2 linked regions of the Oryctolagus cuniculus genome follow. The main gene of each other region encodes a partner of the protein of the gene in region 2 in a complex. Links are inferred from orthologs where the notes say so. Each region holds a gene or a part of one and is shown on either strand. Other genes may lie near its edges.

Region 1 (6,439 bases), on a different chromosome or scaffold from region 2:
TTTTTGACTTTTCTAAATATTTTTTCCTAAATACTATTTATTTGAAAGGCAGAGAAATATCTTCCACTCACTGGTTCACTCGTCAAGTGCCTGTAACAGCCATGGATGGGCCAGGCCAAGCCAGCAGCCTGGAACTCAGTATAGATCTCACAGATGGATGACAGGGACCCAGCTACTTGACCCATCACCTGCTGCCTCACTACCTTAATCCAAGGCTAGACTACTACTCTTGCCTGTGTCTTTTGTGCCCCCTTATCCTATCTTCATACAGTCGTCAGAGTGAGCTTTATATTCTGTAACATAATTTAGACAATGTGAGTTCTGCCACCTAAAATTTTTCTGTGGTTTCCTAATATAGTTTAAGGGAAAAGAAGTCATTCCTTTATCATGCCGGTCTTCCCGACTCTTCCCTGTGCTCCGGTTTCTTTAGTTCCTCCAATTTATCTTAAGAGCTTACTTTCTTTAAGGCCACTCATTCCCAAACTCTTTGTCCATGCAAGAAGAACTCTCTGGTCTTCAAATGCTGTTATCTCTTATTTCTGCTGTAGGCAAGAGTGACATTGTTTCAAAGATGCCTTGGATTAAATTTGATTCTCCTATATTGATATATGTGTGTGTGTGTGTGTGTGTGTGTGTATGTAGGAACTTTAGGCTTTTTCTAAGCCCCGTACTGTAGTCCATTATTTATCATCTTGTTTGTTGCCCATTGTTCTACTAGATAGTTAAGTTCTCTGAGGACAGAAATTGTATTAATTTTACTTATCATTGCATTCCCCATGTCTAACATAGTGTCTCCAAATAATAGTGCCCACTAATTTCTTATTAAATCAATAAAAGAATGAGCCTGTTTCTTTGATTCACCCTTCTCTGTACTTGGTGTCTCTCTACCCCTTTTTCCTTTCTCTGCATTTCAGAAATGTGCATGCTAAAAACGTCTTCCTCTGGTCTTGCAATGCAGTTGGCAAATTGTCTTTGTGCTCTGCTTTGAACACTATCCTGGTTGCTTTCCTTAACTCCTATTTTGCTTCTTTCTTTCCATTTAATTGCTTTTAGAAAAATTACTAGTTTCCCTGTCACTCCAAAAGCCTTTACTCAGTCCTTATCCTCTGACCTCCATTTTGGGGGCTCCTTTCCAACTCCTTACTTTGTTATCCTTCCTTATTTTTACTTTTTACCATGAGACTTTTTCCAAAACTCATTTTCTCTTCTCTGTTTATGTTCACAGCTTTTGGATATTGCTTCTTTGTAAGTTTTCTCGCTTGACTTCCCAGTTAAGATTTAGTCCTGGGGGCCAGCATTGTGATGTAGCCAATTAAGCTGCCGCCTGCAGTGCTGGCATCCTATATGGGTGCCCATTTGCACTTCCAATCTGGCTCCCTGCTGATGGCCTGGGAAAGCAGTAAAAGGTGGCCCCAGTGCTTGGGCCTCTGCCACCCATGTGGGAGACCCAGAAAAATCTCCTTGCTCCTGGCTTTAACCTGGCCCAGCCTTGGCCATGTGGCTATCTGGGGAATGAACCAGCAAATGGAAGATCTCTGTCTCTCCTTTTCTCTCTAACTTTGTCTTTCAAAGAAATAAATAAAATATTAAGAAAAAAAGATTGGGGCGGGTATTGGCATAGCTGGTAAAGCCATCACCTGTAGTGCCAGCATCCCGAACGGGCACCAATTCATATCCTGGCTGCTCCACTTCCAATACAACTCCCTGCTGATGGCCTGGGAAAAACAGTAGAAGATGGCCCAAGTGTTTAGACTCCTGCCACCCATGTGGGAAGCCAAGATGAAGTTCCTGGCTCCTGGCTTCTGTCTGGCCCAGCCCTGGCCATCACTGCCATCTGGGGAGTGAACCAGCAGATGGAAGATGTCTCTCTCTATATATAACTCTGCCTTTCAAATAAATAAATACATCTTTAAAAAATTTAAAATATTTAGTCCCATATCTAAATTTTTCTTTTAAAATGATGAATTGTTGGTGTTGTTTGTTTGCTTGTTTTACTTAATTTTTTTGGCATCTACTTATTACAGTCAGTATCAAAATCATGGAAATCAACATTATTCCATTTTCCTTACCCGTTAAGAAACATTGTGATTAAGAACATTGGTTAGGAATAAACTAACAGGATTCAACTTGTAACTCAAGGGGCAAGTTTTGGCCTCGTGACTAAGGTGCTGGTTGAGATGTTTGCCTCCGATGTTGGAGTGCGTGGGTTTGAGTCCATCTCCATTGCCAATTGTAGCTTCTTGCTAAAGTGCACCCTGGGAGGCAACAGGTGATGGCTCAAGTGCTTGGGTCCCTGCCACCTATATGCGAGGCCTAGACTGAGTCCCAGCCTGACACAGCCCCAGCCCTTGTAGGCATCTGGGAGGTGAACGAGCTCTCCCTCTGTCTGTATCTCTCTCTCCTGTGCCTCTCTAAATAATTTTAAAAGTTTTTTTTTTTTTTTTTTTTTTTTTTTTAAGTCGTGGCTCCGAGACTTACTAGTTTAATGACCTTGGACAAGTTCTTTAACCTCTCTGTGCCTGTTTCTTCATCTGTGAACATGGAAAGAAATAGTAGCACCTTCCTCGTAGGGTTTCTTTGGAGAGTAAGTGAATTTGTTGTGGTAGATACGAAGTACTTAGATCAGAGCTAGTTGTGTAGTAAGTGTTCAATTAATGTTACCTGGAATGAACGTACTATTCTTACCATCTTATCTGCTACCAAATCTCAATTCATTCTTGTTTATCTTTTCCTTCTTTTTTCGCCACTTCTAATTACCTCATATTTGAATTATTATAGTGACCTCATAGCTGATAACAATTTTTATTTTAAAAGAATGCTTGCTTTCTTATCCAAGTGAGTTAAATGTTATACTATCTTGTGATGATTTAAGTCAGTTTTATACTGCATGCATGCATTGTTAAAGTTATATTTTTTTAAAAAAAGATTAAGCTGTAATGATTCAGTTTGATCTTTCCTCTAAAGCTCACTGAACTTTTTTCCACTAGGGGGCAAGACAACGTCATGGGAGTTAAATATTGCTTTAGGAAAAATGATCATGTTGTTATTGCTATGCCATACCTAGAACATGAGTCTTTTTTGGTAAGTTTTAATATTTCTTGAATTTTTATTAGCTAAATATTTAATTGAAAACTATCTTATGACCCTATTTATAACTTTATTTTAGGACATTTTGAATTCTCTTTCCTTTCAAGAAGTACGGGAATACATGTTTAATCTGTTCAGAGCTTTGAAACGCATTCACCAGTTTGGTATTGTTCACCGTGATGTTAAGCCCAGCAATTTTTTATATAATAGACGCCTGAAAAAGTGAGTATGAAGAGTTCCTAGATAATACTTTCACTTCAATGAATTTGTGTGATAGGGTCCAGCCCTTAGACATACACTTCAGCAGTCACGTCCAAATCGTTTCTTTCTTTGTGATTAGGAAAGGAAAATGCAGAGAAGATAACTTTGTATTAGTAAAGCAGTGTATATCATTAGAGGAACTGTGGTTTAGAGTAAATAACTCTTAGTTAAGAAACTTATAATCTTTGAATTTACACATGACTTCATTTTTCTTTTCTAATAAATGAGGAATTAAACCACATAATAACCAGTTTCCTGTTTAAACATTAAAGCTCTATTTTTATGTATACTTTTTATGCTAATTATATACATAGAGGAATAAAATAACTTAAATGCTGCTGTTTATATAGTATATCATATTGAATATGGTAACAAGATTAAGAGTGTAACTTGTTTGTTGGGATTTTATAGCCATGATTTTTCTTTTTCTTTTTAAAAATTTTTTTTTCTTAATTATTTTTAACAGATTCAGTGTGCTGTGTAGATAGAATTCTAAGAACATAGTGATATTCCCTCCTTCTCCCTTTCCCTCTCTTTTCCCCTGTCACCTTTCCACCCTCCTTTCTTTGCCCTTTTATTCTTTTTTTTAGTTTTTGAGATACATATTTTAAATTTACATTACAGTAAAAAGGTTTAATACTTCACTGAATAAGAAGTTTAACAAGGTGCTGGCACTGTGGCATAGCGGGTAGGGCCGCCTGCTGCCGGTTCGAGTCCTGGCTGCTCCGCTTCCAATCCAGCTCTCTGCTAAGGCCCGGGAAAGCAGTAGAAGATGGCCCAAGTCCTTGGGACCTTGCACCCATGTAGGAGACCTGGAAGAAGCTCCTGGATCCTGGCTTTGGATCGGCGCAGCTCCGGCTGTTGCAGTCAGTTGGAGAGTGAACCAGCAGATGGAAGACCTCTCTCTCTCTGCCTCTCCTTCTCTGTGTAACTGTGACTTTCAAGTACAAGGAAAAAAAAAAAAGTTTAACAAGTAAAAAGCAAAAAGACCTGAGCTTAGTGTGACTATAGACAATAGCTATACAGAATAATTGAATGGAAAAATGACCATTTCACCCCTATAGAGTAAATTTTTTATTTTTACTTATTTGAAAGGCAGAGAAACAGGGAGACAGAGGTTTCCCATTCACTAGTTTACCCTCCAAATGCTTATAACAGCTGGGGCTGGGCCAGGCCAAAAAACCAGGAGCTGAGAACTTAATCTGGTTCTCCCACATGAGTGACAGGGACCTGGGTACTAGAACCATACCCCTGCTGCCTACCTCGGTGTACTTTAGCAGGAAGCTGGAATGGAGAGCAGAGCTGAGACTTAAACCAAGTACTCTGATAGGGCATGCAAAAGATATCCCAAGCAGCAGCTTAACTTCGGTGCTAAATGCCCACTCCTTTAGTTTTTAAAAATTAAGTCATATGTTAAAACCATTATTTCAACTTCTCTTTTAAACTTGTTTTATTAGAAATTACCTGCTGTGATGCCATCTGTGCCACGATCAGAGAATAAAGCATTGTATTTATATTGCCCCATTAACATAGGCCACTGGAAAAGAGAGAGAAAAGCAGTTGACTGTGGAGTGTGTCATTTCTTTTTCTCTTTTTTGTTTTAAGATTTATTTTATTTATATGAAAGAGCCGAGAGAGGAAGAGACAGAGAGAAACATCTTCAATTTGCTGGTTTGTTCTCCAAATAGACACAATAGTCAGAGCTGAGCAAGACTGAAGCTAGTATCCTAGAAGTCCATCTGAGTCTTCCATGCAGGTGGCAGGGACCCTGGACCCAAACACTTGGACCATCTTCTACTGCTTTTCTTAGGTATATTAGGGAGCTTGAGGGGCTGGCGCTGTGGCGCAGTGGGTTAATGCCCTGGCCTGAAGCACCGGCATCCCATATGGGCACCGGTTAGAGACCTAGCTGCTTCACTTCTAATCCAACTCTCTGCTATGGCCTGAGAAAGTAGCAGCAGATGGCCCATATCCTTGGGCCCCTGCACCCATGTGGGAGACTTGGAAAAGCTCCTGGCTTCGGAATGGCACAGCTCCGGCCATATGGTCAGTTGGGGGTGAACCATCGGATGGAAGACCTCTCTCTCTCTCTGCCTTTCCTCTCTCTGTGTAACTCTTTCAAATAAATAAATCTTAAAAAAAAAAAAAAAAAAGAGCTGGAACAAAATGGAGCAGCTGGGACTTTAACTGGGGCACCCGTAGGAGATGCCAGTATTGCAGTTAGCAGTTTAGCCTGCTAAGCCATAGTGCCAGCTCCTGGAATATATAATTTCTTTTTTTTTTTTTTTTTAAGATTTATTTGAAAGACAAAGTTACACAGAGGCAGAGAGAAGGAGAGAGAAAAGTCTTCCATCCTCTGGTTCACCCCCAAATGGCCTCAACAGCTGGAACTGGGCTCATCTGACCCAGAGCCAGGAGCTTCCTCCAGGCCTCCCACAGGGTTGCAGGGGCCCAGCAATTAGGCCATCTTCTGCTTTCCCAGGCCATAGGAGAGAGCTGAATCAGAAGTGGAGCAGCCAGAACTTGAACAGGCGCCCATATGGGATGGCGGCACTGCAGGTGGTGGCTTTACCTGCTATGCTACAGCGCCAGCCCCTATATCATTTCTTAATTTTCAATTCTACCTTGGTGTTAAATCCTTGCTTTGTAAAATGTATTTTTTTTTCTTGAACACTGTTCTTTCTTTCTTTCTTTCTTTTTTTTTTTTTTTTTTTTTGACAGGCAGAATTAGAGAGAGAGAAAGGTCTTCCTTTTTCCATTGATTCACCCCCCAAATGGTTGCTACTGCCGGTGCACTGCGCCGATCCAAAGCCAGGAGCCAGGTGCAGGGCCCAAGTACTTGAGCCATCTCCACTGCCTTCCTGGGCTGCACCAGAGAGCTGCACGGAAGAGGAGCAGCCGGGACAAAATCCAGCACCCCAACTGGAACTAGAACACGGGGTGCCGGTGCCGCAGGCGGAGAATTAGCCAAGTGAGCCGCGGCACCAGCCGGACACTATTCATTCTTAATTGATCCTGAAAAGAATTGTAGTTTCTGTATGCATGTGGTTGAGAGTATTGAAAGCTTTAATTGTTAAAAAGGAGTAAAAAT
Region 2 (5,682 bases):
TCTGAGAACTTTTAACATCTTCTTCTTATTCTTTGGAATAATTATTGGAAATTTAATTTTAGGGGCATGAAAATGTTTGAAAGCCTGAATCAAAAAGGGGGCATCTCTTTATTTAGAAATATAATTTAATGACATGTTTTTTACTTTTGTTTTAGCATCTCCTAAGTGAGCAACACAGAAGCTTTGCACAGAGTAATCACTATCAAGTTGTTGATGATATCATATCCAAGTTAGTTTTTGATTTTATGGAATATGAAAGGGACACGCCTAAAAAAAAGAGGTAATTTAAATCCTACTAGAATATTAAACTGTTTGATTAACCTGAAAATAATTCCAAAGTTTGCCTCTTTTTGGAATTTCTACTTTGAGAATGTGCATATGGTCAATAACTAATAACTTCCCTTCTCTCCTCCCCCTGCTACCTAACGTGCTTACAGCAGGTTATTTATAGTCTCCTTCTTGACACTGGCATTTAAAAGAAGGTTGGTAAAATTTTTTTCTGAAGAGCCAGCTGTTTTTAAGGTCAGAGCCAGCATCGTGACAACAGGTAGTTGCCGCCTATGATGGCAGCATCCCATATGGGTGCTGGTTTTTTTGCTGCCTGCTTCACTTCCCATCCAGCTCCCTGCTAATGGCCTGGGAAACACAGCAGAAGATGGTCCAAGTGTTTGGGCCTCTGCCATCAGGTGGAATACCCAGATGGAGTTCCAGGGTCCTGACTTCAGCCTGGCTCAGCCCTGGCTGTTGTCATTTGGGGAGTGAACCAGCAGATGGAAGATATCTCTCTCTCTCTCTCTCAATCTCTCAATCTCTCAATCTCCCTGTCTCTGTAACTCTGGCTTTCAAATCAATAAATAAATCTTTAAAAATAAAATATAATGTTATGTGAACCATAAGATCTTTGTTAAATATTCAGCTTTTATGCCACAATGGGTGTAGCTGTGTTGCAGTAAAACTTTATTTAGAAAATAGACTGAAGGCTAGATTTTCCCACAGTTTGAATAGTTTGCTTACTCTTAGTCTAGAACAATAAAGTTTACCTTCTATTTATAAGAGGCTTGAAACTTTTAATTAATTTTAAGGGATTTTAAGGAACCTTCTTTAACCTTCCTCTATGAAGCCTTATTTTTTACTTTCACTAAATAATACACTCTCTTTGCTGGTAATTACTAAAGGTACCAACAGGATTTTTTTTTAATTATTTTTTAAATTTTTTAAGAAAGCTTTTATTTAATGAATACAAATTTCATAGGTACAGCTTTAGGAATATAGTGGTTCTTCCCCCTATACCCACCCTCCCACCCCCACTCCAATCCCACCTCCTGCTCCCTCTCCCATCCCATTCTTAATTAGTATTCATTTTTTAATTAACTTTATATACAGAAGACCAACTCTATTCTAAGATTTCCAGTTTGCACCCACACAAACACACAAAGTATGAAGTACTGTTTGAAAACAAGTTTTGTAGTTAATTCTCATAGTACAACTCATTAAGGACAGAGGTCCTACATGGAGAGTAAGTGCACAGTGATTCCCAACAGGACTTTTAACTGAAAATACAGTTTAGTCAATGTACAATGACTACATACTGATTAAGGAAAATGGTCCTAATTAGATTATTATTGAGATTAAAGGGTGATGCTCACTAAATGGATACCCCTGTACCTAGAGTTAGTGATGATTCAATAAGTTATTCTGTCTTTAGATCTATTTTAGACTAATGGTATTTATTTTGATTTATAAAGATACTTATATTAATTTTGACTTCCTGCAGCCTCCCTACACCCCGTTAAAGATTTATTTGAAAGCTGGCAGAGTTAGAGAGGGAGAGACAGAGAGAAGGATCCTTCATCCACTGGTTCACTCCTCAGATGACTGCAATGGCTAGGGCTGGGCCAGGCCAGAGTCAGGAGCTTCATTGGGTCTCCCACATGGGTAGCAGGAGCTGAAGAACCTAAGACATCTTCTGGTGCTTTCTCAGGCCATTAGCAGGGAGCTGGATCAGAAGTGGAGCAGCTGGGACCCAAATCAGGAACCATTCTGATTGAAGGGGCAGACAAAATTGTATTACATTTATCATTATTATTTGTGTTATATATAACATAAAACATAGTTGGTGAGCTGTTAACTTCTGTATTTGTATAGATTGTTTCATAAAACGACCATCACAAGGATATCAAGACACTATAAAGAAAAGGGTTTCAGGTTAAATATGTGCCATCTTTAGAAGTATAAACATTTTAAGTTCTCATTTTATTCTTAAATAATAAGTATTTTCTACCTTTGATTTCTCAATAAATACTCAATTTTCCACAATGCTAAATAAGAAGAGTAAAATATTCATTAATACAAATCAAAAGTACAGAAGTAAAGAAATTTTTCAGAATCATGAGAGCAAAATTAAGAGCAGGCCCAAATTCATTTACTATCATTTTTCTTGACTGTACATGATTAAACTAGTTTTAAGCACCCAGTTCAGGATATTTGATAACTTTGGGGTGGAGAGTGAAGAATGTGGAAAAGAGTGAGAAGAATTTTCAGCTGTATCTGTAAAGTCTTGATTACTTTAAAAACATCTTAAAAATAAATTAGACAAAATGTTGAGTTCTGTGCTTTTGTGATATTTTCTAAGTTAGGTAGGTTTCTTAAATAGTTTTAAGATATTTTTGCTAATTCTGTTTCTAACAAGATTTTGTTTTGATAGCAAATATTTTAATTTTTTTTCTACAAAGAATAAAATACAGTATTGGATCCTTTTCTCCTGTTTCTGCTAATATCCTGAAAAAGACTCAACCAAAGCAAAAGCTACAATTGCAGCATATTTCTCAGAAAGACTTGAGAGAGAGTAAGATACAGGTGATGGAGCAGAATTTCCTGTGTGAAGAAACTCAGGAACCTGAACAAAAGCTTGTGTTGATTTCAGAACCCATCCACAGCGCTTCAAATGAACTGAGAGAACTCAATGAAAAAATGAGTCCTATGTTAAATACAGCTGAAAATGATACAAAACAAAATTTTACACAGCTACCTCCACATAAAAATAAACAGGAATTCATTCTTGACATTTCTGATACTAAATTAAGTAAAAACGACTTAGAAGAGCTAGGGGTAGATCACTGTCCTTGTAGGCTACAGACTTCTATACAAGTTTCTGTTTTCAGTGCAAATAGTGCTGCTCAACCAAAACAGAACTCAGATACTGTGAATTTTCCAACAAAGAATCTGAAGGAAAAGGAACTTCATTCATTACTTGGTCACAGTTCTGATCTGAGAACAATCAACAGTTCACAAGAGCACCTAACAGTTCAGGCAAAGACTCAATCCCCTCATCCTGGTGAAGAACCCAGTGAATGTGACATCAAAAATGTGGATAGTTTACGTTCTTGTAAAATACGTCGAAAAGTGAAAATGTTATTAGGACGAAATAAAAAAGAAAATCTGGAGCCAAATGCTGAATTGGATAAGAAGAGAACTGAATTTCTTATTACACAAGAAGAAAACAGAATCTGTAGTTCACCAGTACAGTCTCTACTGGACTTATTTCAGACTAGTGAGGAGAAGTCAGAATTTATGGGTTTCACAAGTTATACTGAAAACAGTGGTGTATGTGATGTTTTAGATATTTGGGAAGAGGAAAATTCTAATAATCTGTTGTCGATGTTTTTTTCTTCCCCCTCAAATTCTACATTTACTGGCTTTTAGACTTTAAAGGATGTGTATTTTTCGAAAGTCACATAGATCAAATTCTTGAAATCTATTTTAGAAATATATATAAAAATTCTTAGGAGTTTTTGGCTACCTTTGTTTACAGAACCAAATGTAAATATTAATAAAGGTGATGTTTCCAATTTTCTACAGAATTTAATATATTAGGAAAATTATAAACTTTTCACTTTGTCATATTTTACTGTGTTCATAATTATTTTGTGAGAATTATAATGAAAAATATAGTTTGCTGTATGCCACTAAAATTTGAGTTTGAGAATATTAAAAATGTATCAACATAAATTTGGATATTTTAAGTTACACTTATTGTCCATTACAATAGATTCTTATGATAACATGGCATTATTAAAAATCTGCAAATTAAAAACATTTCATGGAAAAGGAAAAGATGTGTTAATTTCTGTTAGAATTTTGGACGTCATTGTGACTCAGTTGGGTCAGGTTAGTGTTTTGTAACTGACAGATTATCTGTAGGGTAAATAGAAGCCATGAAGGAAAAACTTAACCAGCTGCAATGTGGACTATAGCTCTTGTGCTATTCTTAATTATTTACCTTTGGAAATAACTTTGAGAGTAGTGACTCATTATGCTTCTTCTAACTTAGTGTTGAGAGAAAAAGGATGGTATTGAATTGCAGATAGAGTTTTGAAATCTGTATCAGAATTGCTTTGCTCTACCACTTGCCTGTACAATATTTTGGAATAAATACACATATAACAGCAATTTATCTTTTTATCAGAAGATAGAAGGCAATAACAGTGGCATTTTTTCATGGTAGAAAATTGGTGCCATTGAATATCACATGAATACATTGTCACTAAAAATTAACTTTAGTTAACAGTTGTAAATTTTTGAAATCGTATATGGCTCCCAATATAGAATTAGTTGCATACTTTCTTATACATGGAAAGAGCATTTCCATTTCTTTCAGTACACTTGTATTATGTTAACCATTGCAGGTTACCAGTGAGAATACTGGCTTTTCAACAACTTGATTATTCTTACCAGTTCCTTAGGTAGGATCAATGAAAGAGTCTACAGTGCATATAAGCAAAGCTTGTTTTAGTTGTAGATCACTATTGTAGCATTTTCTGTCACAAATGAACATGTGTATCTCTGAATTGATGTCAAGTTTTATAGAGAGTGTTCTAAAAATCTAGAAACTTAGAAAATAATTTGAAGGGTTTTTTCCTTAAGTTAATATCTGTATGTCCCCCAAATCCAGAATAATTAAAAGGTAAACTTGCTATATTAATCTTTGACTCTACAGTGAGTCTCCTCAATTTGCAGTTATGTTTGCACCACAATTATTTGTATCATTTTGCTTCCCTGGTATTTAATGAAGGTGGGGGTGGGAGACTGAAGCTGAACCCTCTAGTAGTTGGTAAATACTTTGGATATTGGACTGAACACTGTAAGATTTTCATAATGAATAATCAGCTTTTACGAAATGTTTAGGTTGCAGTTTGTTTGAATGGTGCTATAAACTGAAGCAGGACTATCACATGGCATTTGCATTGGGTTGCATTATGGGGTGGGTACTCAGCCTATAGGATCAAAGCTGATAGAAATCCAGCATAGTTGCAGCATATAATTGTCCTGGCAATGAGTACATTCACCTAGAGGTCAGTGCTTTTGTAAGTTTTTTTTACCAAGGCCCAGCCTATGTATCTTAGGCATTGTGTCTACCCAGAGAAGATGATTCTTAAAAACTTAAATTAATTAAAAAATTCTTTTCTAGTGGCACTTAATTCTCTAATAGCACTTATAATTATACCTTGGTTTCTATATCCACTCACAAAAGGACACAAGTCTTTAACATAGCAAGGTACCTTCAAAAGTAGGAGTCTACAAAGATTCCTTTGCAGGGTAGATGTGAAACTTTGGGTTCTCTTGAATATGATAGGCTGTGTCAAATGGGTGCAGACGAGTAACAGGTCCCGAGCAAGCATAGAA

Evidence for each region.
Region 1: the proteins of DBF4 (region 2) and CDC7 are in contact, whole or in part, in a crystal structure (PDB 6YA8), measured with the Homo sapiens proteins. The link is inferred for Oryctolagus cuniculus from reciprocal best matches to the Homo sapiens genes DBF4 and CDC7. Residues at the interface, in NP_006707.1 of Homo sapiens: Thr210, Arg211, Thr212, Gly213, Arg214, Leu215, Lys217, Pro218, Phe219, Val220, Lys221, Val222, Glu223, Asp224, Met225, Ser226, Gln227, Leu228, Tyr229, Arg230, Pro231, Phe232, Tyr233, Leu234, Leu236, Met239, Pro240, Ile242, Asn243, Tyr244; in NP_001127891.1 of Homo sapiens: Asn56, Val57, Phe58, Ala77, Gln78, Leu79, Gln80, Ile87, Ile93, Pro94, Thr95, Ser96, His97, Pro98, Ile99, Arg100, Ile101, Ala102, Leu105, Gln106, Thr109, Lys121, Tyr122, Cys123, Phe124, Arg125, Asn127, Asp128, Val130, Leu143.

The regions. Positions count from the first base shown.
Region 1 is NC_091438.1:79,103,090-79,109,528, reverse strand, and holds part of CDC7 (cell division cycle 7-related protein kinase), read left to right. Parts: intron 1-2,987; coding exon 2,988-3,081; intron 3,082-3,166; coding exon 3,167-3,309; intron 3,310-3,768; exon of another isoform or gene 3,769-4,285; intron 4,286-4,812; exon of another isoform or gene 4,813-4,885; intron 4,886-6,439. UniProt on the Homo sapiens protein: Kinase involved in initiation of DNA replication. Phosphorylates critical substrates that regulate the G1/S phase transition and initiation of DNA replication, such as MCM proteins and CLASPIN.
Region 2 is NC_091447.1:47,448,161-47,453,842, reverse strand, and holds the end of DBF4 (protein DBF4 homolog A), read left to right. Parts: intron 1-155; coding exon 156-280; intron 281-2,732; coding exon 2,733-3,702; 3' UTR 3,703-4,113; downstream 4,114-5,682. UniProt on the Homo sapiens protein: Regulatory subunit for CDC7 which activates its kinase activity thereby playing a central role in DNA replication and cell proliferation. Required for progression of S phase.